Linked DNA regions of Macaca mulatta. The protein of the gene in region 4 interacts with the protein of the main gene of each other region in a biochemical or structural test. Links are inferred from orthologs where the notes say so. Each region holds a gene or a part of one and is shown on either strand. Other genes may lie near its edges.

What was found.
Region 1: the proteins of CDK9 (region 4) and CCNT2 form a complex in vitro, tested with the Homo sapiens proteins (4 studies listed by BioGRID, with this or other methods). The link is inferred for Macaca mulatta from reciprocal best matches to the Homo sapiens genes CDK9 and CCNT2.
Region 2: of the proteins of CDK9 (region 4) and SUPT5H, one has a biochemical effect on the other in vitro, tested with the Homo sapiens proteins (4 studies listed by BioGRID, with this or other methods). The link is inferred for Macaca mulatta from reciprocal best matches to the Homo sapiens genes CDK9 and SUPT5H.
Region 3: of the proteins of CDK9 (region 4) and CTDP1, one has a biochemical effect on the other in vitro, tested with the Homo sapiens proteins (3 studies listed by BioGRID). The link is inferred for Macaca mulatta from reciprocal best matches to the Homo sapiens genes CDK9 and CTDP1.
Region 5: of the proteins of CDK9 (region 4) and RB1, one has a biochemical effect on the other in vitro, tested with the Homo sapiens proteins (4 studies listed by BioGRID, with this or other methods). The link is inferred for Macaca mulatta from reciprocal best matches to the Homo sapiens genes CDK9 and RB1.
Region 6: of the proteins of CDK9 (region 4) and MBP, one has a biochemical effect on the other in vitro, tested with the Homo sapiens proteins (2 studies listed by BioGRID). The link is inferred for Macaca mulatta from reciprocal best matches to the Homo sapiens genes CDK9 and MBP.
Region 7: the proteins of CDK9 (region 4) and GTF2F1 form a complex in vitro, tested with the Homo sapiens proteins (2 studies listed by BioGRID, with this or other methods). The link is inferred for Macaca mulatta from reciprocal best matches to the Homo sapiens genes CDK9 and GTF2F1.

What each region holds. Positions count from the first base shown.
Region 1 is NC_133417.1:26,562,770-26,566,393, reverse strand, and holds part of CCNT2 (cyclin-T2), read right to left. Parts: intron 3,544-3,624; coding exon 2,125-3,543; 3' UTR 1-2,124. UniProt on the Homo sapiens protein: Regulatory subunit of the cyclin-dependent kinase pair (CDK9/cyclin T) complex, also called positive transcription elongation factor B (P-TEFB), which is proposed to facilitate the transition from abortive to production elongation by phosphorylating the CTD (carboxy-terminal domain) of the large subunit of RNA polymerase II (RNAP II).
Region 2 is NC_133424.1:50,555,101-50,558,724, reverse strand, and holds part of SUPT5H (transcription elongation factor SPT5), read right to left. Parts: intron 1,724-3,624; coding exon 1,558-1,723; intron 1-1,557. UniProt on the Homo sapiens protein: Component of the DRB sensitivity-inducing factor complex (DSIF complex), which regulates mRNA processing and transcription elongation by RNA polymerase II.
Region 3 is NC_133423.1:1,304,049-1,308,395, forward strand, and holds the start of CTDP1 (RNA polymerase II subunit A C-terminal domain phosphatase), read right to left. Parts: upstream 2,869-4,347; 5' UTR 2,694-2,868; coding exon 2,380-2,693; intron 1-2,379. Other genes in the region: uncharacterized protein LOC106994590, read left to right, coding at 3,032-3,448. UniProt on the Homo sapiens protein: Processively dephosphorylates 'Ser-2' and 'Ser-5' of the heptad repeats YSPTSPS in the C-terminal domain of the largest RNA polymerase II subunit. This promotes the activity of RNA polymerase II.
Region 4 is NC_133420.1:19,920,545-19,924,771, forward strand, and holds the start of CDK9 (cyclin-dependent kinase 9), read right to left. Parts: upstream 2,920-4,227; 5' UTR 2,872-2,919; coding exon 2,780-2,871; intron 2,319-2,779; coding exon 2,237-2,318; intron 1,500-2,236; coding exon 1,409-1,499; intron 1,071-1,408; coding exon 904-1,070; intron 804-903; coding exon 632-803; intron 474-631; coding exon 325-473; intron 1-324. UniProt on the Homo sapiens protein: Protein kinase involved in the regulation of transcription.
Region 5 is NC_133422.1:27,573,665-27,577,288, reverse strand, and holds part of RB1 (retinoblastoma-associated protein), read right to left. Parts: coding exon 3,559-3,624; intron 1,109-3,558; coding exon 1,052-1,108; intron 630-1,051; coding exon 598-629; intron 517-597; coding exon 440-516; intron 1-439. UniProt on the Homo sapiens protein: Tumor suppressor that is a key regulator of the G1/S transition of the cell cycle. The hypophosphorylated form binds transcription regulators of the E2F family, preventing transcription of E2F-responsive genes.
Region 6 is NC_133423.1:3,679,818-3,684,241, reverse strand, and holds the start of MBP (myelin basic protein), read right to left. Parts: upstream 2,866-4,424; 5' UTR 2,663-2,865; intron 1-2,662. UniProt on the Homo sapiens protein: The classic group of MBP isoforms (isoform 4-isoform 14) are with PLP the most abundant protein components of the myelin membrane in the CNS. They have a role in both its formation and stabilization.
Region 7 is NC_133424.1:7,269,442-7,273,616, forward strand, and holds the start of GTF2F1 (general transcription factor IIF subunit 1), read right to left. Parts: upstream 2,874-4,175; 5' UTR 2,632-2,873; coding exon 2,620-2,631; exon of another isoform or gene 2,555-2,619; intron 2,536-2,554; coding exon 2,489-2,535; intron 1,615-2,488; coding exon 1,542-1,614; intron 1-1,541. Other genes in the region: adenylate kinase isoenzyme 1, read left to right, coding at 2,875-2,940, 3,307-3,490. UniProt on the Homo sapiens protein: TFIIF is a general transcription initiation factor that binds to RNA polymerase II and helps to recruit it to the initiation complex in collaboration with TFIIB. It promotes transcription elongation.

The DNA.
Region 1 (3,624 bases), on a different chromosome or scaffold from region 4:
TAGTCACAGACCTTAAATATTCACATTGTTATCTATGTCTACTGAAAATAAGTTCACTACTTTTCTGGATATTCTTTACAAAATCTTATTAAAATTCCTGGTATTATCACCCCCAACTATACAGTAGCACAACCACCTTATGTAGTTTTTACATGATAGCTCTTGTAGAGGTTTCACATCTAAATTATCAAGAAAGCCCTTCCCTCCCTCATCTTGCACTCGCTTAATTCTATACTAGTCCTTGGATTATGTACCACTGTAAAAGTATAACTGTATCAAAATTACCATGTTTATGGATACAATATTATGCCATACAGAGCAACAAAGTTACATATAATGACAAAGATCACTAAAGTTATGCAAGACAAGAACAAATGTTAGGACATGCTACCTAGGCACAGTCCCTACAAAGAGGCTCCTAAGTACCCCAAGTTCAAATAACATTGACAAAATAAAGAACAATTATCTTTAAAAATTATAAAGCTATTAGATAATTGCTAAATAAAGGTAGAGCACAAGATTAAACTCTAATATTTACAAACTGCAACATACTCGAGTAAAATTACAATTGTGCACATATCAGTGGCTTTGTAACAAAAATACAGAAAAAAAAATTGTTTTCAGTTCAACAAGAGGTTGAATCCAATCAATCTCAAATATACTCAACTCAAAGATTTACCACAGAATAAATTCAAGATTAGCTGATAAACAAGAGCCATATTACTGGTGTTTAGGACAAAATCTAAACAAGTTAAAATCCAATGTTTGATCAGAAGTCAGATGACTGTGCAAACTTTACCTCAACAGAAATACACTGAGATGTGCAAACAAATGTAAAACCTCCACTAGTGGTTTGCCTAGGAGGCTGACCTCTTCTTTCTTACAGAGCTTCCTGATAACCATAACTATAAATACAGGTACAATGCACAGTCAGTAATCTTTTCTTTTTTATTTATTGTTAGAATATAAAAGAATTGAGAGAGCATAGGTTTAATTTCATTTTTATAAGGAAGACTACATTTACCTGAAAAAGAAATATGGCATCACACACAAACACGCTTCAGGGAAGGAGTATATTTAAGAATGTGGTGTCATTCTGAATGCTAAAGGAAAAGTGATCCCCGTTTACTGCTAAAATATGTAGTGTAAAATTCTTTAAAGGAAACAACTCACTAAGTCTCTACTAGGTAAGTTATTGTGAATTTAGTTTTCAAATCACAGTAATCCACATAACCATTATTAACAGCTCTGTTTCATAGAACTGCAACAAGCCAACAAACATTTAAATGCACTTCACATCAAGAGTATGTAAACTTTATTTTTTCCTCTTCAAGCCTTCAGAAAGTTAGGGGCTATTTCAGCAGCCAATCTGGTCAGAACCTCTGAAGGCAAAATTTCAGTGCCTCACAGTGTACGTGACCATCTGTGGCACTGCATACACATCTGGTAGTGAAGTGTCCCCTATCAGTGGCTTCCAGTAAGGCCTAGAGTTTAAGGTTAACGTAAAAAAGTGCCACCTTTGTTTTAGATTAGTGATGGACTCTGACAAGATAAAATAAAGTTATTCTGTATATTGTTATACTTACAAGCAGCTCCAATCCTGAGTATTTATGGTAATATCTAAACATACAAAAATGTATGTACATTTTTCTCCACTTTCTTGTAAACAGTTATCAGTATACTGTTTTATCCCTTTATCTTTGAAACATGCAAATCATACATACAAGTATAAATACACAAAAGAAAACAATTTACACTCATTCAAAAGCCAAGCAACAACAAAAAATAGCTACAGTATTCAAATCATAAATAATGAATGCTTGAGGCATCTTATATTCCTAGAAGCAGCCAGCCATTCATCCTAATGTTCTTAGCTGCAATTGTAGAAATACTGAGTTTTGCACCTTCCATGCTTTTACAGTATTTATAACACTATCATATGTGGAGATAAAGACTTGTTTACTATAATCTCTTCTTTTCAGAATGAAGAATAAAGCAGCACTTACAAATATTGAAGCAGTGGCAGCAACAGCAGGGGTTACCACTGCTAGATCAGAAGGAATTTTTCCATTCTAACAATTTTTAAATTAAAAAAGTAAAGGAAAAATTGACCTAAACAAATTATTACATGTTCATTCCTTGGGCACTTAACAGCGAGTCCAGCATGTCGAATGTGTCTTTGTAGTCCATATGCTGGCTGCTTGTACTGTACTCGTGATTGGCATCAGGACCGTTGGTCTCCACTGGCTTCTTGTCCAGTTTCACGAGGGTGCTGAGATGTCCGTAGCCCACCTGGTATGTGACAGGGGGAGGAGGGGGTAAGGGATGGTTAAAAACAGAGTTGTGAGAGGATATATACTGCTTAACAGAGGAGGAAGAACTAGATGAACTACCTGAACTTTTGGAACTTTTGCTCATTTTGGAGTGGTGGTTGTGAGATGCATCATTGACATGCAGCCTCTTCCTTGAAGAGCTGGAGCTAGAGGAAATGCCATCACTGCTCAGGCCAACAGGACTCCTCAGAACAGTGGGTGGTATTCCGTCGGCACTGTGTTTACTGCCACCACTGCTGCTGCCACTATGCGAGTGGGAATGCTTGTGGCTGCTGGTGTGGTGGCGGCTTGAAGGATGCTCCTTGTGCTTCTCCTTATGGTCTCTGCTAATATGTGGGCTTGAATGCTTGCTCTTCCCACTGCCTTCATCAGAAGAGCTGTGTCTTTCTGAAGAGGAAACTTTTATTTTCATTTTCAGTTCTTCTTTACTGGCGCTTTTATCAGTGGGTGGTATTGGAATCCGTAATTTCAGTGATCCACTCTTTTCCTTTTTATCTGCCATGTATTTTTCAGTATTTGCAATGGGTATTTTCATTTTAATGGGAGAAGTAACAGAACTGCTGCTGGCTGCCTGTGACTGCCCTTGTTTGTGCTGCTGTTCTACCTGGGCAGCTATATAATGATCCCTTACATCAAGATCAAGAGTTTCTAGTTTACGCTTTTCTCTATATTTGTCTAAAGACATTTTCTGAGGAATTATTCCTGGAGTAGCAGAAATTGGCCCATGGTGTTTACTGCTCCCTGCTTTATGAGTATATTCTTGCTTAACAGAAGAATGATCTGAAATTTTGTCAGGTCTGTGATGTAATCCTGAATGCAGTGATATAGAAGGTCCCTGCTGGAAGTTGATGTTGTACTGGCTACCAGACAAAGATGTCTCCTGTTTCTGTGAATATATCTGCTCTGTCCTTGCTGAGTCTTGATGTTGAGGCCATTCCTGGTGTGATGACAAACCGTATGAAGTACTTGGCATTCCTGTTGCTAGCACTGACAAATTATCAGATGTATGGCTGTCTTGAACAGAAATATTTCCTGAATTTAGAGGTACTGGTGCAGGGAATGCTGATGTAGATGGTTTCTGAAAACTTGGGTTTGTAGGCACACCAGTGACACTATCTACTAAAATGGAATTCTGGACCAAAGATGAACCAAGAAGTGGTGTCTCTGATACCTGTCCATCTACTTTTGGTTTCCTAGCCGCCTGATTAGCCTATTAAAATAAAACACAGAAGAAGCAGTGATATAGAAAAACAATTTAATGCAAATTTCTTGTCTTATAAAAGTTAATACA
Region 2 (3,624 bases), on a different chromosome or scaffold from region 4:
CTACCTCAGCCTTCTGAGTAGCTGGGACTGCAGGCGCAAGCCACCAAGCCCGGCTAATTTTTTGTTGTTGTTGTTGTCAGACATGGGGTCTTGCGATATGCAAATTCCTGAGCTAAAACAATCCTCCACCTTGGCCTCCCAAAGTGCTGGGATTACAAGCGTGAGCCACTGCACCGGCCCAGAAACTTTCCTTATACACCTTGAGTCATTTAACCTAAGCTGTCTCTGTTTCTCTACTTTTGCAACTGTGGAACGATAAAAAGCAGTTTACAGAAAAGTGGTTATAACGTGGACCTACGTAACCTTAACAAATAACAACCCTGTTTTCTGAGGGCTTTTCCTAGGTTAGGCATTACATTCTAGGTCGCCATCAACTTAACGAGCTTTATATGCATGGTCCCCCAAATCCTCGCCATATCCCTGCTGTAACAGAAAGAACTATTTCCCCCTTGCACTGAGAGAGGAGGAGACTCAGTGACACATAGGACGCTGTCCAGGGCTACATGGAGAAAACAGTGGAGCCAGGCTAGAAGGGCCCCAAATCTGTCAGACTACCTTTTCAGGTTACCTAATTTCAAGTCATTTGAGCTTTCCATGACAAGTACAAACCACTGTCAGATTTTAAAAGATCATAATGGTGCCAGGCGCAGTGGCTCACGCCTGTAATCCCAGAACTTTGGGAGGCCGAGGCAGGCAGATCATGAGGTCATGAGTTCAGACCAGCCTGACTGACATGGTGAAACCCTGCCTCTAATAAAAATACAAAAATTAGCCAGGAGTGGTAGCACACGCCTGTAATCCCAACTACTCAGGAGGCAGAGGAAGGAGAATCGCTTAAACCCAGGAGGTAGAAGTTGCAGTGAGCTGAGATCGCGCCACTGCACTCCGGCCTGGGCAACAGAGTGAGACTCCATCTCAAAAGAAAAAAAGATCATAATGATCCTGTGATTGTGTGTGTTTTTTTGTTTTGTTTTTTGGTTCGAGACGAGCCTAGCCAACATGGTGAAATCCCGTCTCTACTAAAAGCACAAAAATTATCTGGGCATGGTGGCAGCCGCCTGTAATCCCAGGTACTCACAAGGCTGAGGCAGGAGAATCGCTTGAACCCAGGGGGCGGAGGTTGCAGTTAACCAAGATCGCACCATTGCACTCCAGCCTGGGCAACAAGAGCGAGACTCTGTCTCAAAAAAAATATATGGATATATGGCTGGGCGCGGTGGCTCACGCCTGTAATCCCAGCACTCTGGGAGGCTGAGGCGGGTGGATCATGAGGTCAGGATATCGAGACCATCCTGGCTAACACGGTGAAACCCCGTCTCTACAAAAACTACAAAAAATTAGCTGGGTGTGAAGGCACATGCCTATAATCCCAGCTACTTGAGAGGTCGAGGCAGGAGACTCGCTTGAACCTGGGAGGTGGAGGTTGCAGTGACCCGAGATCGCACCATTGGACTCCAGCCTGGGTGACAAGAGCAAAACTCTGTCTCAAAAAAAAGAAATGGAACTAGAAGTGGAAGCTCAGCCTCTGCTCAGCACTGGCCCAGCACTGTGACATACCAGCCTCATCCAGAATGAAGCCTCCATGGCGGGGTTTCTTGGGGGGCCGGTCATCATCTTCTTCCTCCTCTTCCTCATCATATTCCTCCTCCTCTTCCTCCTCTTCTTCTTCCTCAGGCTCTTCTTCCTTCTCACTGCCCGCCGCACTCCGCCGTTCTTCCTCTACCTACAGGTGTCAGGCAGGGTTGTAGCACCAGAATTCTACTACCCCAAAATCCGAAAACCAAGTTCCCCACCCTAAATCTGACCTCAGATCGCCCTGGTCAATCACAGCCCCCTTTGCCCTGCATACACCCCTTTCACTCTAGCCTGCTCTCTGGTTACCATTCTATCTCAGCAACAGCACTGCCATCTCCCCAGCCACTCAACCAACCCTGGGAGTTGACCTGGGCTTCTCCCTGCACTAGATTTCTTGCTCACTTTCCAGCGGGTCTTTAACTATAATAGCTCGATGAAGCTTGGTCCTTGGGCCTCATTTCTTTTCCTTTCTTTTTTTTTTTTTTTGAGATGGAGGCCCACTCTGTCTCCCAGGCTAGAGTGCCGTGGCACAATCTCAGCTCACTGCAACCTCCACCTCCTGGGTTCAAGCAATCCTCCTGCCTCAGCCTCCTGCGTAGCTGGGATTACAGGCATGCGCCACCACACCTGGCTAATTTTTGTATTTTTTTAGTAGAGACAGGGCTTCACCATGTTGGCCAGGCTGGTCCTGAACTCCTGACCTCAGGTGATCCACTCGCCTCTGCCTCCCAAAGTGCTGGGATTACAGGTGTTAGCCACAGCAACCAGCCCATCTCTTCCCATTCGACAACTCCCCAAGGCCAACTTGTCCTCTCCCTTGGTGGTGGGGGACATCTCTGTGACAGTGACTCCCATCTCTGTTTCTAGTCCACACTGCTCACCAAGATCACTGGCCAGCCCTGTTGCTAATTCTGTGGCCATTCTGTATTCCCTACCATCCCAGCAGCGTCTGGCACTCCAACCATGCCCTCCCTGGAGAAATGTTCCTCTCTTGGCTTCTGCTGTACCATGCTCTCCTGGTTTTTCTCAAAACTCCAACGGCTCCTCTTCAAGCTCCTCTTACTATTAACCCCTTCAAGTCTGACATCAATTACCAGGGCTCAGTCCAGGGCCACTTTGTTCTCCCTCCATGCACTCTCTCCCAGGACATTTTACCTTCCATGACCCCAGTTCCTGTCTCTACAGACGACACCCTCATCTGTCTCTAGACTCCCACCTTTTTCCAGAATTCAAGACCTCTATGCACCAGCAGCATCCTGGATGCCTCCCCCAGATGTCCTCTGAGCCTTTTCATACCAACTGTGTCCCAAACTGACCTCAACGTCTTCCCCTAGACCTGTGCTGGCCTCCTCCAATTACCGACAGGCACCAAATCCTCATCCTTTCTGCCTGTGAACATCATTTCTCCAACCCATCCTTTCCCCCCAGCCCCATACATCTGAGCCTAGGCCACGACACTGCCCTCTAACCCCTGGATCCTTACCCCAGCCTCCTCCCTACTCTCCTGGCCTCTAATCCCTCTTTCCATACCAGCAACAACATTAATGGATGCATACCGAACTTCAATCTGTAACTCATTAACTTCACAACTTCTTCCATGTCATTACTACAATCTATTTACCTAACACAGGTTGAGCATTTCTTTTTTTTTTTTTTTGAGACGGAGTCTCGCTCTGTCGCCCAGGCTGGAGTGCAGTGGCTGGATCTCAGCTCACTGCAAGCTCCGCCTCCCAGGTTTACTCCATCCTCCTGCCTCAGCCTCCCGAGTAGCTGGGACTACAGGCGCCCGCCACCTCGCCCGGCTAGTTTTCTGTATTTTTTAGTAGAGACGGGATTTCACCGTGTTAGGCAGGATGGTCTCGATCTCCTGACCTTGTGATCCACCCGTCTCAGCCTCCCAAAGTGCTGGGATTACAGGCTTGAGCCACCGTGCCCAGCTGAGCATTTCTTTTTTTGTGTGTGTGATGGTGTCTCGCTCTGTTGCCCTGGCTGGAGTGCAGTGGCGCGATCTCGTCCCACTACAATCTCCACCTCCAGGGTTCATGCCAT
Region 3 (4,347 bases), on a different chromosome or scaffold from region 4:
AGCCCTCTGTATAAACAGGCTGGGCTCCACACCCAGCAAACAGTGTCAGGCATGGAACCCACGGATGCGGAGAGCAGATGATTTACTGAAAAACATCTACATAAAGGTGGCCCTCGCAGCCCAAACCAAGTTGTTCGAAGGCCAGCTGCAAACTGTATAGAGCTGCTGAATTGGAACTCATGTCCTGGAGAGATGCGTCACTGTTGGGCTTCAAGCAAAAGCTGCGGAGATTTCTACCTGCATGCAGCTCTCTACAGAGACGTCGGCAAAGCCACAAGTCTACACTGCAGGGCGCTACTCCCATCACAGGCGTGCTGCCAGAGAAACGCACTTGTAACCCCCACCCTGTTCACAAAATCTGTCAACAAGTGACTTAATCTAGCAATTTTCAACTGTGTTCCACAAAGGTGCAGCAGGCATTTTGGGGAGGCCAACACATACCGGCTCCCAACGGCAGCCCGCCAAGCCAGGGCAGCGTCCTCGGGACCGAACAGAGCCATTGTCAGCAGCATGGACTCCTGCTGCAAATGCACCTCCCGAATTCAGCTAGCTAACAACCGCGAGGCAGGAACCTGATTCCAAACAGACGACCAGAACTGCCAGGGCACACGCACACGGCTTCAGACTAAAGCCTTCCCAGCCGTTCCTTCCTGGATCTATGGCACCCGTGCCCACTGCAAGGGGAGGAACACCTCTGGAAATGCTGACGTCACACCACCACACTCCCCAGAATGCTCACAAAACCCCTGTCCACAAACCCACAGGAGTACACGGAAATGGGAAAGGAGGCACCTTGAATTCCAGGTAACACCGCCTGTGGCTTTCTCTAAGGCAGGGATTCACCTGCCACCAGTGGACTGGAGGCAGACAGACGAGCCTCCTGGAACTAGAGGAAGACCTGGTGCCACACAGACGCTCCGAGGAGAAATGACATCACGTCAGTGTCTCAAAGGGCCCTGTGACGAACCACTGCCGTGAGGTACCCCAAGATCTCAAACAGCACCTCCCTGTAAAAAAGTACTGACTGCTGGGAACCCGTCATCAAACTAATTAGCCGGCTGATTGATGCACTGGGTTGGTTTTATTCACTAGACTGACTGAACATGGAGTTTCAATACTACCTAGTCACATAACCAAGTTATTCACCTGTCCAGGTCAAAGTGGCCCTTTCTGTACAATCAGAGGAACAGAACGAAACATCAGTACGGCTCTTCGATCCTGGGGTTTTCTGCCCAGAGAATACACCAGCACTGGGGTCTGCCTCCACGATCCTCGCAGGTATGACCAGTGCCCACTGAGGAAGCCGTGCAGGCATTTCCTGGGAGGCACGGCCCTCAACCTCCCAGCCCCACCCACCAGCACGCAGGGGACAGAGTGGGTGCCCGTGCAGAGGGTCAAGGACCCAGGCTCTGTCTCCAAACGAAGCAGAGCCAGGACGTTTTGGGGCTGTGATGGGAAGACTCCTGTCCCAATCCTTACTCCTGCAGAACCAGGTGCAGAGCAGATTCTCAACCAACACAGGGTCAGGGCAAGCCACAGGGACGAGGAACGGCGGCTGCCGAGGAGGGAGAGACTGGCATCCCCCGAAGGAGCGGCATCATTCCCAGAGGGAGCTCAGGCCCGGCCCACTGCAGGCTGGAGTGCCCACCTCTCCCTGGAGTTTCTGTTCTGACAATCAAAACCACCACAGCCAGGCGCACACGCGTGGCTACATGCCTGTTCATCCCAGAACACAAGGGTAGATTCAGACACGGCTGGACGCTTCGGTGTTACGGAAACACATCCCAGAAGGGGTTCTGGGGTCAGAGCACAGTTACGGACAGCTGTGGAGTCTGTCACACGCCCACATCACCTGCAACAATGCCCACTGTGGTCAACCACGGGGCCACTGCCTTCGCTGCAGGCCTGAGTTCCGCCCGTTCCTTAGCCACGAAACAGAGCTGCACCAGGTTTTACAACTGCGTTTCACAAAGTTTACAAAAATTTAAAGATGTGCACACGCCCATCAATAATAGGTCTGGAGCCTGCCTGATGACTCTTGTGCTCACAGCCACCCATGAGTTTTCCCAAGTCACAAAGGTGGAGCTAAAGGAAGGGGCGGGGACTATCACTGCAGAAGGAAAAAACAAACACCATCGCTTTCCCAAACAGTAACTTCGTGTCGCTACGCAGGACCCTTTCATCTCAAAATGCTCCCCATTGGTAAAACCACAGGTGGTGACTATCTAGTTTTAGGGGAGAAGCGCAGTGCCCGCGTCCCGCTTTATCGCCCCGTCCCCTGGGCGCCCCTGCCCACGCGGCCGCAGCAGCCCGGGCGGTCCCCCAGGACCCCTCCCCGGAGCCGCCCGCCCTCGGCCCCGCCCGGCCCGGCGCACTCACCCTGGAGCGACCATCTGGCCCGGTTGCGCGCACAGCTCCCGCACCACGCCCGCGCGCTCCGACCTCAGCCTGCGCTCCGACCGCGCGGGGCGCACGCAGCCCCCGGAGGCTGCACGAGACTGAGGAGCCCCAGCGGGCTGCGCGGAGGCGGCGGCCTCGAACACGGCCAGCACCGAGCCGATGCGCACGGCCGCGCCCGCCGCCACCCTCCACTCCAGCAGGCGCAGCGGCGCGGGCCCCGGGCAGCGCACCTCGGCCACGGTCGCCGTCGGGGCGCCCTCGGAGGAAAGGCGGCCCGCGGCCGGCACCTCCATCGCGGACAGAGGGCGGGCGGGCGGGCGGTTGCTACGGGGCCTGCGGTGCGCTCAGAGCGCAGCGCCCACCGCGGCGGCACGACCCGGGCGGCGACGCTTGTAGTTCCTCTCGGTACCGGCTTCCACCCGCCGCCTGGCCCGCGCCGACTTCCTGGAGGGCGCGTGACGTCACGGCAAGGGCGCCGCGTGCGTGCGTGCGTACGTGCGTGTGTAAACACGAGCGCCGCGCGAGTGTCGGGGCCGGCTCCGTCTTGGGACCAAGCCTGCGTGCCGGCCGCGGAGTACTGCGTTTCTGCGCCCTACTTTTCCTCGGGGAGCCGGCACCGTGGAGCAGTGGCATGCAGCGCGGCCCGCTGTCTCCCAGTCCCACTGACAGTCCTGGCGCGCTCGGAACTTGGTATCCCGGCGTGCATCGCGGGCAGGGCATGGCGGGACTACGAGTCCCAGCGTTCAACGCAAGCCTGCGGCCTATTACCCCGTCACACGCCGAGACCCAGCCTCCTGAGACTACGAGTTCCGGCATGCACCGCGAGCCGCTCTCCTCGACTTCCGTCGCGCACTGCGAGTCCCAATGTCGCGAGACTACGGGTCCTGGCATGCCGTGCGCGCCGCGGGCAGAGAGACCTGAGGCAGCTGGCGTCCGGGGGGCCCCGCCTCGTGTCCCGCTCCGTGTCCAGAGCGGACCCCACGCCGCGGGAGCTGCTGTGGTCTTTTCTTCCTCCGACCTCCCCTTCGACGCGGAAGCGCAGGGGCAGGTGCGCCGCCCTCGGCCCGCGCAGGCGGTGGGCCCGCCTGGGGCAAGGCGCCCGGAAGCGCCTGGTGGGCTCAGAAAATCCGAGCGACCGCAGCGGGAGGGCGGGCACGGCGCGTGGTCCCAGTGGCCCCGGGCGAACCCTGATGAGCAGCAGCCGCAAGTGTCTTATTAAAGGAGAGCCAGTTTCTACGTTTGTCGGGAGTTTACGTGAATTAAGCTGGCGGGCGGGCGGCCCAGCCTGTAGTCCCAGCACTTTGGGAGGCTGACGCGGGCGGATCACCTGAGCCTGGGAGTTGGAGACCAGCCTGGGCAACATAGCAAGACCCCATCTCTAAAATAGATTCATTAATACTTAGCCGGGCGCGGTGGCTGAGGTCCCAGCTACTCGGCAGGCCGAGGCGGGAGGCTGGACTGAGCCAGGCCGCTCTGGACTGTTTTTACTTTTTCAGCCTTAATACGTGCCCGAGTTCTTTTTTTACTGTGTATCTTTGTCCTTACATATATAAATGTTATGTACAATTGAGATTATCCTGTATTTGCCTTTTCCCCTCACTTTTATATGGTGGCTTTTCTCATGTTAGTAAACATTTTGGAAACTGTCGGCCTAAAAGGAAGCGGAGGCACAGTTTCTTTAAGTAGACAGTTTATTTGGGCCACCCTTGAGGAGCAGAAATTCAGGGCACCCTGAGTGTGTACTCCGATTAGCAGTTAGCAGTGGGTTTTAAAGGCAAGAAAGGGAGCCAGGGAGTCGACTAAAAGGAACTTGTTTGTCAGGAATTTCACTGGTTTACAGAAATAATATTGATTAGTGACTGACTCTAAGCTGTTGAGTGTGGGTGTAGTGTCCAGTGTGGCGTTATTAGGTTAATTTATAGCTGTTTGTAGCGCTATTGCCACCGG
Region 4 (4,227 bases):
TGCTCCACTTCGAGACTCCCAGACTACTACTGGAGAGAGAACTCGACCCCTCCCAAGAGAAGCAGTGCCCGCCACAGATTGGCACATACCACATGCCAGGCCCAACCCTGACATACGTCACATTTCTGGTTCACAGAAGAGAAACCCAGCGCTGACTCAGTTGTTCTGCCCAAGGCCACAGAATGGCTGATGGAACCAAGACTGGCGCATAGCCTGTGTGGCTCTCAAGGGCAGGCCCTGTCACCAAACCAGCCTCCCTTCCAGAGAGGAGCGCTCCCTCCATTCCACTCCCCACTCCTCTGCCGGGGGACCGGGACCCCGTACCTCAGGGGTGATGGAGCCGCAGAGCTGACTGATGAGGGCGAGTTGGTGCTGCTCCGTGTTGCCCTGCATGATGGGGCTGCGGGTCCACATCTCTGCCATGATGCACCCAGCACCCCACAGGTCAATGGGGGGGCCGTAGTCCCGCTCCCCTGGGAAGAAGAGCGCACCAGGAGGGCCCCTTGAGCCCGGAGGCCTCCTGAGACTCAATGCCCCAGGGCCGGCAGCTCAAGAAGCCCTGGCAGTGGGGGGGCGGGGGCCAGGTAGATGCCTGGCCCTCACCCCCCTCGGCCCGCTCGGGAGTCCTCACCGAGCAACAGCTCCGGGGGCCGGTACCAGAGTGTCACCACACGGTTGGTGTAGCGGTTGGGCTGGCTGTTCTTAGCCAGGCTGAAGGCCCGGGCCAGCCCAAAGTCTGCCAGCTTCAGGACCCCGTCACGAGTGATAAGCACGTTAGCAGCCTTCATGTCCCTATGCAGGATCTGCAAGAAGGGCAAGAGTGGCTCCTTCAGTGATATCCACCCGGTAGTGGGAGCCAAGGCCAGCCCAAGCCTGGGTCCTCCTCCCAGCTCTCGCCCCCACCTTGTTCCTGTGGATATAGTAGAGGCCGTTAAGGAGCATCTGCATCACCCTCTTGATCTCAGACAGCGTGAACTTGACCAAAACATTGCTCAACAGCCCAGCAAGGTCATGCTCGCAGAAGTCGAACACCAGGTATATACTGCCCTTGCAGCGGTTATAGGGTGAAGCTGAGGCAGGAATACAAGGAAGAAAAAGTCAAGAAAGCCACACCCAACACACTTTCCCACAACCAGTTTCTTTCTTCCTGCTCCAACCCATGGGCACCCAAGCCCTCCAGAGCATCTGTCTGTTCCTTCCTTCACTGGTCAAATATTTTCTGAGTGCCTCTTCTGGGCCAGGGCAGACCCCGAGGAAGCACCAGCTACGATGAAAGAGGACCAGAGAAAGCAGTCACCATGGGTCCATCTGAGTTAAGAGGAGGCAGTTTAGGTGGGTCTAGTTCCAACTTTACGAACAAAACCTTAGGCTACAAGTGTCATCTCCTCATAAGATCCAAACAACTTACCTTTGGTTCGACAAATCTCAATCAAGTTGACCACATTCTCATGTTTTAGAAGTTGAAGGATCTTGATCTCCCGCAAGGCGGTAATGGGGAACTGGGTGGGAGAGAGGGGAAAGTGGTCAAGAGTGAGCGCAGTACAGAGCCCAGCCCTGGGGTCTATATTGAGAGGCAAGATGGGAGACAGAGCAAGATCATGGGCTCTGAAACCAGCTGTCTCAGAAGCTCTGCCTGTAAAATGGATATAGTAGGAGCATGCACACTTCAAGGAGATGATTTGAGACAACAAACTGAAACAGCAATACTTTGCTATTAGCCACTAAATGCTCGGCGGTTTCAGCCTTCAAACTTCAGCTCTATGGCTGTTTCGTTGGCAACAAACATGACGATTCAAAAATGTCCTCGCTAAAGCACATCAGGAAAAGGAAGGTTTATGGGACGTTGTACTTGAGCTAAGATGGGGTGGAGGGACCGCTCCTTTTAAACACATTAAATAACTGAGTATTAGTCACTTTTCAAAAATTTGCATGCATATGTATCTTTCTTTAACATTAAGCAAAATTTAACACTAAAAAAAGGTGTTTAAAGGCTTCCTAACTTCGTGAACTAAAGTGCACACGATGCATGCATCAACTCCCCCTCCCGGTCTCACCCATAACTGCCTAAGAATGAAGCATTTAGTTTTAGGGTGGAGGCCAAATTCCCTGGAAATTTCTGAACTACTACGAAAAAAATTAAATCTCAACCTGAGACTCCTAGAAGCAGCAGGGTGGAAAACCGACCCGGGGTCCTGGGCAGTTAGACGGCTGGCCCGCACGCCCGATCCGTACTCACCCCCTCCTTCTCGTTTTCCATCAGCACCTTCTTCAGAGCCACCTTCTGGCCGGTCTTGCGGTGCCTGGCCTTAAACACCTCCCTGCAGGCGGAAAGGGAGACCCGAGAGCTCATCAGGCGATTTCCGCAGGGCCCGCCCCTCCCCCACTACAGGAGGAGGGGCAGCAGCAAAAAGATTCCCGGGCGGGGCTGGGGTAAGTACCCAGGGCACGCGGCTACCCCGCCACCCGGCACCCTGTCTCGTTCGGAGCTTCTGCTTCCTTCTCTCAGTCCCTTCTCCTCACTTGGGCGTCTCTTGGAGAGATCCCGTTCCCCTCACGGGCGCCTCTCTGCAGCCCCTCCCCGCCCCCACCACCGGCCTCAGGCTCCTCCCCACCAGCCGGCTCCTTCAGGCCGGGGCGGGGTGCGGCGCGGCCTAAAGACCAGTGGGCAAGCCCGGGGACAGACGGTTTCTCTACCAACTCGGGCGGGGCCCGGGGCATCCCGACGTCCGCCCTAGGGGTGCAGGCCCACGGCTCCCGGCCCCGAGGGGCCCAGCCTTACCCGAAGGTGCCTTGGCCGATCTTGGCGAGCTTCTCGTATTTGGAAACTTCATCACAAAAGGGGCACTCCACCGAGTCGTACTGCTTTGCCATGGCCGCCTCCAACGCGCCGCCGCCGCCCCCAGCCGCTGCTGCTGCCGCTCCCGCTCCGGGTCCCGCCGCCGCCGCGCTCCAGGCCCCTCCGCGGCCGCGCCACTTCCGCCTCCACGGCCACTTCCGGCCTCGCGGCGCCGACCCCGCCTCTTCCGCCCGCCGCCCGCCGCCAGGCCCCCTGGGACTTGTAGTTCCCGAGAGGCCAGGGGGAGCCGGAGCTGCAGAGGCGCCTCCGCCGCCGCCGCTGCCCCCGCCTCCGCCGCCGCCACTACTGGCGGCGGCCCCGATCGGGGGCGCGGGGAGCCGGGGCGCCGGAGCTGGGGCTCGGGGTGGCGCGTCCCGCTGCATGGGCCCGGGCCGCCGCTGCTGCCGAAGCTGCTGCCGCTCTGGCGCCCGATCCGGGGCCAGCCGCAGTGCCCTGCTCCTCCTCCTCCGACGGCGCCGCCTCCGCCGGGCTGCGCGGGGCGGCGGGCGGGGGGGCAGCCCCCGAGCCGCGGCCTGGGGGCTCCCTGGCCGGGCCCGGGCCCGGGGCGGCCGGGCGAGGGGGCGAGACGGGAAGAGCCGACTAGGAGACGGCCCGAGAGCCCGGGAGGGGGCGCGTTATAAAGGGGGAGGTGCCCGGCCTCGCCTTCCCCTCCTCCTCCGCCCGCCCCCGCCCTCCTCCCTCCCACCCTCCGCGGCCGCACCTGCCGCCGCCGCCACCGCCCGCCCGCCCGCCCGCCCGCTCGCTGTCCGCCGGCCGCCCTCGGCGCGTCACCGCCCGCGGCCCCTCCTCCGCCTTCGGAGGTGGGGCCCCGCGCTCGGCACCTGGCTGCGGGCGCCCAGCCGCGTGCCTCAGTTTACCCCCACATGCCGGCTGCCGCGGAGAGCCCCTTCCTCCCCGGCTCGGAGTGCCCCCCCAAGAGGCGAAGGCGGGAGGCGCGGAGGGAGCGTCCTCCGGCCCTGGGAGGAGAAAACGGCCCCCGCCTCCGCCTCCCCCGGTCCCCGCCACCCTCCGTTGACATGGCAACCGACGGCCGCCAGGGGGCGCGGCGGCACTGGAGGCGACGAGCAAGCAACGCCCGGGCCTTCTATCGCTGGAGCCTGGCTCTCCAGGAGGCAGGGATGGGACCCGCAGGACTCGCGCCTTCGCCGAGTCGCGCCAGAGCTGATCAGGCCCCGGGTCAATAATCGCAAAAAACAGCTACCATTTTCTCAGCACTCTTTGTGTGCTCAGGAAGTGCTGGGCGTTTCCGCCGAATCCTGAATCAACAGCCCCATAGTCAGGATCACTAACCCATTTTGCAGAAGAGGACATTGAGGCTCAGAGGTGAGGTCATTTGCCCAAGGTCACACGGCGACAAAGCTGGGTGTCTG
Region 5 (3,624 bases), on a different chromosome or scaffold from region 4:
ATTTATATTTTTAAAAACACTGTAACTGGCCTTCGTTCTGTTTATCCAGTGGGTTCCAGCTTCAGTCTTTAGTTTCATAACCATGGAGGTTATAGCAGTGCTTCCATATCAGTAGAGGCCACTCTTGAATACTCCTTTGGCACTCTACAATCTCACAGGTCTTCGGAGGGATTTCAAAATGTACCTTTTCTAAATTCAGTATACCAGTATACTCAGAAGAGGAGCCTAGTGAAATATTATCCCCAAGATGGCCTCAAATAATTCAAATAAGCCTCTTAAATGGCTTATAATGACCAATTACATTGTTCAGTATATAGTGATCTAAAATAAGCATTCCTTCTCCTTAACCTCACACTATCCCTCTCCTCCCACCAAAGAAACACACTACATTTTAACTTTAAATTGAACAAAAATGTTTATTCATGAAAATTTAACTTACTGCTATATGTGGCCATTACAACCTCAAGAGCACACGCCAATAAAGACATATGAAAAATGTTGTCATTCAGAAGTTTGCTAAAGGAAAAAAAAAGATTATAAGATATTTACTTTTATAAAAAGAAAAAAAAATTGTTTTACTAAAAGTAAAAAATTTACCTAAAATTTTGAATGGATAATCGTTCTTCTTCCTGAAACAGATAATTAAAAAAAAAAAAAAGAAGTTGTTTAATTGAAACCTTATTTGTGTTAGCATTGAAATTTTTGTTGGTTTTTTTTTGGTTTATTTTTTGTTTTTTGTTTTTAAGATGGTGTCTCACTCTGTTGCCAGGCTGGAGTGTAGTGGCACGAACTTGGCTCACTGCAACCTCCACCTCCCGGGTTCAAGTGATTCTCCTGCCTCAGCCTGCTGAGTAGCTGGGACTACAGACGTGTACCACCATGCCCAGCTAATTTTTGTACTTTTAGTAGAGACAGGGTTTCACCAAGATGGCCAGGATGGTCTCGATCTCTTGACCTCATGATCTGCCCACCTCGGCCTCCCAAAGTGCTGGGATTACAGGTGTGAACCACCATGCCCGGCTGAAATTTTTTTATATTATTTTCAACTTACTGATTTAAGCATGGATTCCATTACTCGGTAATACAAGCGAACTCCAAGTTTGTATCGCTACAAACAAACAAAAAGAAAAATAAGAGCCTGCTATTTTAGAAAATCACAACTACTAATTTTTTTTTTTTTTTGAGATGGAGTGTCACTATTTTGCCCAGGCTGGCCTTCACATTCCTGGGCTCAAGAGATCCTCCTGCTTTGGCCTCCCAAGAGGCTGGGATTATAGGCATGCACTTCTATACCCAGCTGACAATTACTAATTTTTTAAAAAGCCTTTTCTTAAAACATACTTCTCACCCTTCTTAGAAATATGGCCGCCAAGAAAACGCCAAGACAAGCTAGCTTGTCTAAAACTCAAGACTTAAGTATTAAGTGGTGATTAACATTCCCAAGTAAATTAACAAGAGGGTAGGTCCAGTACCTGAATTTCCTTAACTCATTTCAGTCTATATCATTCATACTAAAGATAGGTTATATGCCCAGTACTATTTTAAGCACTTTATGTGCCTTCTATAACATTTCTCATGACCTAGGACATGTATTTTCAAGATGGTTGTCTAGGATTAAGAGGACAGTCTTTGTCCATAAATTTAGTAAAACTGACACAGAAAAAATCAGATCAAACTGACTTTATGAGCAAGACGTTTTAACCAAATAACTGGTTCCCATTATTTGAAAGAATAACCAAATTTTAGAGATATAAACACACACCATATTATTTCATTCCAAATTAAGAGCAAAAATCTCATACACGATCATGCACCGCATAACAATGTTTTTGGTCAATAACTGACTGCATATATAACAGTGGTCCCATAAGATTATAACAGAGCTGAAAAATTCCTTTTGTTTAGTGTAATGTTGTAGTGCAGTGCATTACTCACATCTTTGTGATGATGCTGATGTAAATAAACCTATTGCACTGCCAGTCATAGTATAGCACATACAATTATGTATGGTACATAATATTTAATAATGAATATGTTACTGGTTTATATTTATTATCCTATACTTTTCATTATTTTAGAGCATCCTCCTTCTACTTGTAAAAAAAAAAAAAAAAAGTTAATTGTAAAACAACCTCAGGCAGCTCCTTCAGGAGATATTCCAGAAGATAGCATCATCATCATAGGAGATGACAGCTCCATGCATTTTATTGTCCCTGAAGAGTTGGGACAGAATTTGGAGGCAGAAGACAGTGGTATTATTAATCCTGATCCTGTGTAGGCCTAGGCTAATGTGTGTGTTTACCTTTGTTTTGGGCAAAAATGTTTATGAAATTGAAAACAAAATGTAAATAGAAAAAAAGCATATAGAATAAGGATTATAAAGAAAGAAAATATTTTTGTACAGCTGGACAAGGTGTTTGTGTTTTAAGCTAAGTGTTATTATAAGAGTCAAAAGTTTTTTCCAAACTGAAGATTTATAAAGTAAAAAAGTTACGGTGAGCTATAGTTAATTCACTACTGAAGAAAAAATGTTTATGAAATTAGTTTAGCCTAAGTGTAGTATTTATAAAGTCTATGATAGTGTACAGTAATGTCATAGGTAATGTTGTAGGCCTTCACATTCACTCACTGACGCATTCAGAGCAACTTTCAATCCTGTAAGCTCCATTCATAGTAAGTGCTCTGTGCAGGTGTTCCATTGTTTATCCTTTATACTATATCTTTAATGTACCTTTTCTGTATTTGGATATGTTTAGATACACAAATGGTAACACATTGGTTTGTATAGACACACTCTACCAGGTTCACACAACAAAACTGCCTAATGATGCATTTGTCAGAACATATGCCTGTTAAGTGGCGCATGGCTGTAGGATCAAAAAGAACCATTAAATATCAATGTTTAAATCACTGATGGCATCAAAATATAACCTCACTACACTGAAATAAATGTGTACAGTGGACTACAGTTTTCCAATATATTTTTGTATATTATCCTCATTAATGCCACACAAAAAAGCAGAGCAAATATAGAACCTGATTCTCAGAGAAGTTAAATGACATGTCCAAGATTGACAATGGTAGAACCAAATATAAACCCAGGGCTGTAACTCCATGGCCCATACTCTTACCTATTATATTAGCTTTAGATTTCCTGAAATAATAATGATATCACTCAGTAATATCACTGAGAAATGGCATGTATAGTATAGTCCCATTCACATTAGGATATGCATACATGAACAGTCATACATGTAGAAGTCAAAGCAAAATCAAAAATTTAATATCAAAGATTTCAATTTTTTTCTTAGTTGTATTTTCTAAAGTTTCTACAAGTGGTATGTGTTCCTTTATTACATAGCTTTTATAATGGGGTGGGAGGTAGTTTCCCATACAGTTTCCTATAAATAGCAACATCCACAGGCAGCAGGGATATAGTATCTGCCAGTATTTTATACTACTAGACAAATACTGTTAGAGTATTTATACCAACTGGAAAGATGCTGCTTTTAACATTATTACTCTATAGTACCACTAATTAAAATGAATTCAAGTTACCTGTGATCCAATTTCGACACATCCCTGTCCCACAGCTTTAGCAAATTTCTCTTTAAAGATATATCC
Region 6 (4,424 bases), on a different chromosome or scaffold from region 4:
GGGAGGCTGAGGCAGGAGAATCTCTTGGACCCAGGAGGTGGAGGTTGCAGTGAACCGAGATTGCACCACTGCACTCCAGCCTGGGCGACAGAGCAAGACTTTATCAAAAAAAAAAAAAAAAAAAAGACAAGGAGTAATTAGAATATTTTTTCTCTTTTATTGACAACTAAGAAAGCTAAGGAGAGGATGATGAACAAAGACGGATGCCAGTGGCCTTATGGTCAAATCATTCTTGAAGGGAAACGTGTGTGGGACATCTCTGGGTACACTCACTCATTATTAGGGGTGGAATTTTAAAAGGAGGACCCAGGAACACCTTTGCAAGCCATCCTTTTCACCACGGCGGTGCAGAGCAGCAGTTAGGCACTGGTGCAGACTCCCTGGACTGAATCCTGCCCTCTTCTCATGTGCCCTTAGAATAACTTAACCTCTCTGAGCCTTGTTTCCTCATCAGTAAAAAATGAAAATATGAATAGGATGGCGACATCCAATGAGAGCATCCTAGGGCCGTCCCAACTGTTATCCGAGGTGACAAACCGCTCTCAAAAGAGAGTCTGGCAATGTGCAAGTGGTGGATAAACACTCCCTGGGGACAGAAAAGGCACAGAGGAAACTGCTAATCTTAAGCATGTCATATTTTTAAAGAACTTGGAGGAGGATTAAAAGTCAAACAAAATAACTTACAATTAACATTGACAAATTCAGGCAGAAATAGAAACACCACACGAAAGTGCGGTCTTTTTTTTTTTTTTTTTTCCAGCGTTTGGGGGCTAACTTTAATCAGTGCACACAGCTAGGACCGCCACTGACCAAACTCAAACCCCATGTCTCAAATCATGGAGGAACCGTGAGCTACCAGGTGTAAAACAAGCGACGCATCTTACGCTTTCTTATCTCTGGGCAGAATTGTGATACTTTTGGAGGATTTTCAAAGAAGATTGAACAAAATAGCTTTGTTTAACCCGGAGTTAGCAGAAGTGGTTGTTTCAGAACAGTTAACTCCCTGGGAGTTACTCCAGCATTTACAACAATTTTTAACTGGGTTCTTTCCCCTCAGATTTCACAGAAAACAAAACAAAGCCCTAAAAAACAAAAGACACACACACGCACATATACACACACACCCCTCTGCTGCGGTGCCCTTTCCCCTACAAAACCCTAAAAAACAAAAGACACACACACACACACACACACACACACACACACACACCCTCTGCCGCGGTGCCCTTTCCCCTGGCCTTCTCTACTGAAAGGCAGGTGGGTTCCTGGCTCTCGGCCGTATCCACAGCCCCAGCCCAAACGCTAAGGAGGTGTCCATCACTGGAGGTGGCCGCCAGGGAGCTCCGGGCAGGACCTTGCTCAATCCATATGGTTCCCTGACTTGAGGGTGACCGTCCTTAACCCGTCCCCCGGAGCTTCGCCAGATAAAATGTCCAAAAAACACATTGGATGTTCCCTGACGTTTCCTTCCTCTGAAAAACTCTTTCCAGGCGGGACGTTCTGTGGTCAGACCAGGCAGCGGCCTCGCCGGAACGAAGTCCACGCCCCTCCCAACCCAGCACCCAGCGAGCCTACGCGCCCCTCACCCAGGCGCAGAGAAACCGAGCACTTGTTGATTCTCATGTTGTTGCAATTGGAAAACGGAACAAGGAACCAGAACGCGCCTGTTTCCAGCCAGAGTCGCACTGGGGTCCCCAAAGACGCTTGAATCTTTTCCCAAGCCCCACTCCACCTCCCAAAACGGGGGGCTCTGGTGGACGCGAAAGGACACAAGGCGCTGCCCCCGGCACCGTGGAAAATACAGTGTGGCGGCAAATGACCGCAGGTCACACACGCCGGCCTCGGGGGCCACCGAAACCGGACGCACCCGGCCCAGGACAGGCAGTGGGGCCCGGGAGGCGGCTGCAGGGAAGACCCGGGCGGGCCGGCGGGCGGCTGCAGGCGGCGCACGTGGGCTCAGGTGGGCGCAGCGACCGGCCGGGCGGAGGAGCCCGAGACAGGCCCTGCGAAGGCGGAAGCCCGTACCCGGGCTCTCGCGGCCGCCCTTGGAGCTCAGAGGGAGACTGCGCTTCGCCCTGGGGGCAGGGTCGGGGGCGCGATCGCGCGCGGGGCCCCCGGGGTGTGATTAGCAGGCGCCGCGAGTCGGGAGGACCCTCCAGCCCGCCCTGGCCGCCAGCGCCCTCTCCGCACCCGCCCAGAGTGGCCGCTTTTGACCGCCGTCCCCTCCCACCCTAGACTCTTCCCCTCAGCCCCACAGCCCGAGGCCGAGCGGTGGCAGCGACCCTGGGACCGCCGGGCCTGGCTGGAGACCACCCCTGGGCAACTGTCAGGGTCCGGCCCCGGCGCTGTAAACCCGCGTCTACACCCGCGCCCACCCCCTCGCAGTGGGGATCGGGGCCGGCGAGGTGGGTTCGGGTCAGGGAGGACGCCGGCTGCCACCTGCCCGGCCACCTGCGCCGCTGCCCAGGTTCCCCCTGCGCGTCCCCAGCCAAGAGAGGGACCCTGAGTCCGGGCTTCGGGACAGCTCCTGTCCCAGATCTTGCGTCCCAGGCTCCCGCGGGGCTTGGGTCCGGGATCCCGCCCAGGTCTCCGCGGTCCCCACTCGGAGGGGCACAGAGACAAAGGCGGCAGAGCCGCCCGCCCGTCCCTGAGGGTCACCCACCGGCGCTGCGCTCGCTGCTCCGAGGCCGAGGGGCGCCGCGGGGTCCAAGGCCCTGCTCCCCCTGCTCGGCCCGGGCGGGCTCGTCTCGGCTTCAAGCGCCGACGCGCGGGGTCCCCGGGCAGCCTGCGCCGCCTTCCGGGGTCGGGAGACCGGGGCCGCCGGGGCTGGAGGCTGCTTCTCTCTGGCGCGCGGCGGCGGTGACTGACGGCGGCGGCTCGGAGGGACGGGCGCGCACCCCGCTCCCCGGCCCCGCCTCCCCGGGCTTCCTGCGAGCCAGGTAAACACAGGCCGATCCCGCCCGGCCCGCCCCACCCCACCTGGACGCTGCCGCCGGAGCCGCCCCGGGAGCTCGGAGGACCCGGGGCCCGCTCTGCCCACGCGGAACTCGGGGGGCGCACGGGGCCCACGCGCAGGGTCAGACCTCAGAGGGGCGGCCTGGAGCCTCGCCCGCTGCCGAACTGGGCTCCCAACTGCGGCCCGTCGACCCTTCCCGCGTGGCTTGGCCTGCGAACCCACCCCGACCCCGACCCCGACCCCGACCTCGACCTCGCGGGAGGAGTGCCAGGCCGCATCTCCCCGCGTCCTCAGGGCCTGGAAACCCCAGAAACTGCCGACGCACTTGGCGCGGCCCTGGCTCTGCAGGAGGAGTCAGCCCGGCCTGGAGGCGAAAGGAGCCTGGCAGGTCCTCCCGGGGCGCGCCCTCCCTCCCCTGGAGCCCAGGCCAGGCCCATGTCCGGCCGGCAGGTGCCCCGCTGGGAGCTGGGGGCTGGGAGCTGGGGGCGCACCTTCTCCTGCAGGACGGGCGCTGGAAGCGCGCGCGGAAAAGACAGGAAAACACGCGCAGGTGCGAGGAAGCAGCCTGGTCCCGCAGCCCGGAGACATCGTAGTCTTCGTCGCTCTCTTGTTAAAAAGAAAAAGCCTGCTGTTTAGCCGTGACTCACCTGCACGCAGATTTAGTGGTCAGAGATCTTTCCCTGGATTCTCGGCCTCCTAAAGGTGATAGAGGAGGAGGCTGGGGGAGGCCCTGAATGAGGCCCCGCGTTCCTCCTGACCTACACCCCCAGTCAGGGATCTGGATCTGGAGCTTCCGGAGGCAGCCTGGGACCCACACAGTTTGTTAGGAAGTGAGGGAGAGGGGTGAGCCCTATCCCGGCCCTCGCTGGGAGGCGGGACACCGACTTCAGCGTGGGGTCGGGGTTGCGGCCTAAAACCAGCCTCTCCCAGAGGCCGGGAGGATTTAGCAACTGTGTTCAAATGCTGGCAACTGGAAGAGAAATAGTTCCACAACGACCCAAAAGCATTCAGTCTGGTGGTTTCCTCAGGAGAGATTTTCAAGTGGAGAGGTTAGGAAGGTTCTGGGACTTTCAGGCTGAAGGTGAGGAGGGAAAAGGGTGCCAAAGATAGTGTGTTTCTCCAATTTTTCTGCCCCCCAACCTCACTTTAAGTCAAGGATGAGCGGAGTGGGTGTGGGAGGTTGGACAGCTGCCCTAGGAGCACGGGTGGTGACAACGAACCCGGGTGCACCCAGGTCCCAGCTGAAGTCACTCAAAGCTCAGACTGGGGAAGCTGGAACACTGGGTCCCGTTTTAGATACCTGTTTTAGCATCAGAAACAGCTTTTCCTCCCCAAAACATCTCTTGGCTTTATCTCAGTGACTCCACAGGGCGGGGCCACCTTCCTGCCTGCAGATGTCCCTGTATGCTGGGCTCCAGAGCGTCCCTCAGGCCACAGTGACAGCAGCAGCACGTGGCCTTCTGTTTGG
Region 7 (4,175 bases), on a different chromosome or scaffold from region 4:
GGGCACGGTGGGAGGCTGAGGCAGGTGGATTACTTGAGGTCAGGAGATCAAGACCAGCCTGACCAACATGGCGAAACTTCATAAAAAGACAAAAATTAGCTGGGCGTGGTGGCAGGCACCTGTACTTGGGAGGCTGAGGCAGAAGAATGGCTTGAACCTGGGAGGTGGAGATTGCAGTGAGCCCAGGTCGTGCCATTGCACTCCAGCCTGGACAACAAGAGACTCCATCACAAAAAATAAATAAATAAAATAAATAAAAAGAATCTCATTGTGCAACATTTGCTGACATTAAGGCACCAAAATCTCTACAAATGTTACCATTTATCGTGACCTATGTGGCTAATATGATCCAAATTACCCTTAAGCTCTTGATTTAAGGTCCATATATACCATTTCCAAAACACTCTAGAATCAGCCACATCTCATAACCTCCACTGCCCCCAGTGCCCACCAGGACTCACCTAGACCAGACCAGTTGCTTCTACCCGGTCTCCCTTTAACTGCCCTCAAACCCACAGTCTGTCTCCCCACAACAGCCAGATCACACTACAACCTCCCAGTTGAAAACACTTTAATGGCTCCCAAACTCCTTTCTAGAGCCTCTGATGGCAGGGGCTCTGGGAAAGCCCCCAGCCCAGTCCCCTCCCTTGCCCAGATAAACCCTGGTCAAAAATGCCCATCGGTGGGCACAACTTCTGAATGTTCTCCTTTAAGGAGAGGCCTCCGGTGGGCCTACCAAACCTAACTTACAGGGACACCCAGGAGCTTGACCTGGGCCTTTGTCATTCTTTTTTTTTTTTTTTTGAGATGGAGTCTCGCCCTGTCCCCCAGGCTGGAGTGCAGTGGCCGGATCTCAGCTCACTGCAAGCTCCGCCTCCCAGGTTCACGCCATTCTCCTGCCTCAGCCTCCCAAGTAGCTGGGACTACAGGCGCCCGCCACCTCGCCCGGCTACTTTTTTGTATTTTTTTAGTAAAGACGGGGTTTCACCATGTTAGCCAAGATGGTCTCGATCTCCGGACCTCGTGATCCACCCGCCTCGACCTCCCAAAGTGCTGGGATTACAGGCTTGAGCCATGGCACCCGGACTTTTTTTTTTTTTTTTTTTTTTTGAGACAGGGTCTTGCTCTATTATCCAGGCTGGAGTGCAGTGATGCAATCATAGCTCACTGCAGCCTTGAACCCCTGGGCTCCAGCGATCCTCCTACCTCAGCCTCCTATGTAGGCCTACAGACCCACACTACCAGCCCCAGCTAATTTTTTAATTTTTTTGTAGAGTTGGGGTCTTGCTATTACATTGCCCAGGCTGGTTTTGAACTCCTAGCCTTAAGCAAGCTTCCTGCCTCGGCCTCCTAAAGTGCTGAGATCAGGGGTGTGAACTACTGCACCCAATCCTTTGTCATCTATCTTTTCTTCATTTTGAGAAAAGTGAGAAAATTAAGACTTAGTTACTATGACAGTTAAGCAACTATTACAATCACCAAGGTCAGGGTCATGTTCTCCCACCACCCCAGCTCCCAACCCCCAGGACCCAGGGACTTACCTGATTCCACGTAGCAAAGTTGACTTTATCGGCTGCATTAAAAGCCATGATATTATATTTTTTGGTTGTATTCCTGGAGTGGATTAGAAAGAGGTGGTGTCAATCCAATACAGCAGTTCAATCATTAATTTAATGAATTAATGCGATTGAACCATTAATTCAATCAGCCATCCAACTGGATCATTAATTCAATCAAATCATTAATTCAATCGCTCAATCCAATTGAACCATCAATTCAATTCAATCATTCCATTCAATTGAATCATTTATTCAATTCAATCACTCAACAAACCCACCCCGATTCGATTCATTCAGCCTGTTTTGCCTGGCAACACTGGATACAGAAGACTCCAAGGATTCCCAGTCTGCCAGAGAAGCTAGACCCATCCCCTCTTGACCCCAGGCAGAAGAAGAGCAGATGGAGGGACAAAGATTTGAGGGAACCCAAGATGTGGAGATTATTGTGAACTCAGCCTTGGGGAGGAGGGAGGACAGGCATGGAGGGCTTCCTGGAGGAGGAAGATACTGGAGCTGAGCTTTGTAGAATCAACAAGAATTCACCCAGCAGAGTCACAGTTTAGGGGTTGAGGGGAGGCACTCATGGCAGAGGGAACAGGATGTACAAAAGCCTAGAAAGGAAAGATAGCCCGACCATTTTGAAACAGGACGAGGAATATGTTCTTTACAGCTGGCCTGAGCATCATGGGATCGAAGGTTAGGCCAGGGGGCTGGATCGCCGTGTTATTAATGCACTCATTCATTCATTCGTTTAAAAAAGCAGGGTTGTCTCCAGGGAAGCCTCAGCTTAATCCCAGCCCTGCCCTCCAAGTCTCTCCCAGTCTGGAGGGAGAATCACAGACAGGGCCAGAAACGCCTGGCTAAGAAGACCGTGAAGGTTTTCATTTTTGGAGGGTGGAGAGGAGGGGGAGATGGGGCTGGACACTTACTTGGGAACTCGAACGACGTATTCAGTGACATTCTGGCTGCTAGGGCCCTGCGGAAAGAGGAACCGGACGGTGAGTGAGGAGTTGCCGAGGTCGCCGTCGGGACCCCGGAACCCCGCCAAATCCACACTCACTAGGGCCGCCATGGGCTATGGTCAGTGGTTCCGATCTGGTCCGACCCGGGTTCCTTTCGTCTCCTCTGGCGTGCGCGTCCCTCGATCCCGGGCAAGCCGCCGCTCGCTGTCGGGTCTCTGTCCCTGAGCGAAGACCCCAACCCCAGGCGCCTCCGGCACTGGGAAAAGGTAACCGGAAGAGGCGCTGCAGCTACTCCGTCTACGCTTCTGCGGCCGCTTAACCCGGAAGCGAAACCCTCCAGCGGCCGCGTCGCGATGGCAACCTTCTTAGCCACTGTGGCCGCCTCAATGCGCAGTCACTTATGCTCCTCGGCGGCTATGGTCACCTCAAAAGGGCCACCACGGTCCCTTCTTAGACTCAGCAAACCCAGGCCGAGTCTGAGATAAACTAACCGGCCTCTGTCGCTGGCGCTCTTTTATACAACACAGTTAACTTCATCAAATGGGGGGCCGCCCTCCCTCGTGACGTCACACCCAAGGACCGCGGGGCATCCTGGGTGGGGAGAGGGAGAAGAGTCCTCCTTGCGGGCCCCCAGGCACTTTGCGCATGCGCCATATCGCTCTGGACCGGGGTTGGGGAGGGCCAAGAAGGCCGCGTCACCATAGCAACCGAGGCCTACTCCGGTTGGGTCGAACCGCTGCTTGGCTCCCCATGGGCCTGTTTGGGGTTCATTTCCTCCCCCGAAGGAATGGACCCCGTCATTGTCGCAAAATGACCGGGGCGGGGACCCTTGTGACGTTGTGCGGAGCCAGGAGGGGTCAGAGCCTGGGCGGGGTCGGGGAGCGACCACCCCAAGGCCTGCTGGCTGGATGGGTCTCTGCAAGTCCAAGCTGCCCGAGATGGGCAGGGCTCTGAGGCCCCAGGAGAAGGGTAACGTCGCGGGGGCGGCTGGCTGGCTTCCTGGGGGGAAGGGAAGGAGGCTGCAGAGAACAGTAGGGAGATGCAGGATCCCCTACCCCGTTCCAGGCATGCACACACGCCCCAGTCATGGCAGTAACACAACTGCGCATGCTCACGGCGCAACCATTCATTGCTCCACTTCGGAAATACTCGAGCACCTCCTGGGTTCGGGGCCCCGCAAGGTGAATCTGTCAAACCAGCTCCCAACGGAGGGTTACAGTGTCCTCTCGAGGGTTACAGTGTCCTCTCGAGGGTTACAGTGTCCTCTCGAGGGTTACAGTGTCGTGGGGGAGACAGACTCATAACATGGGAATCTACAACCCAGGAAGGAGCAGGAGAAGCACAGTGGGCTCTGAGGGCTCAGAGAAGAGGGGAGGTTTCAGTTGGGCACTGAGGGATGCATAGGAGTTGGCTAAGCAAAGGGAAGGGGAGCAAGACACAAAAATTGGGCCATGAACTACAGACACTGTCGATGTGTCTGGTTTCATTTATTCCTCATCCACCACTAAATGTCAGGAACTGCCAACTCCTAGGAATATAGGAATGAGGGAGGCAGAAATAGTCCTTGCCCTCATGGAGTCGAGTCTGGCATGGAGGAGACAAGAACGAGTAAACGGCCGGGCACGGTGGCTCACGCCTGTAATCCTAGCACTTT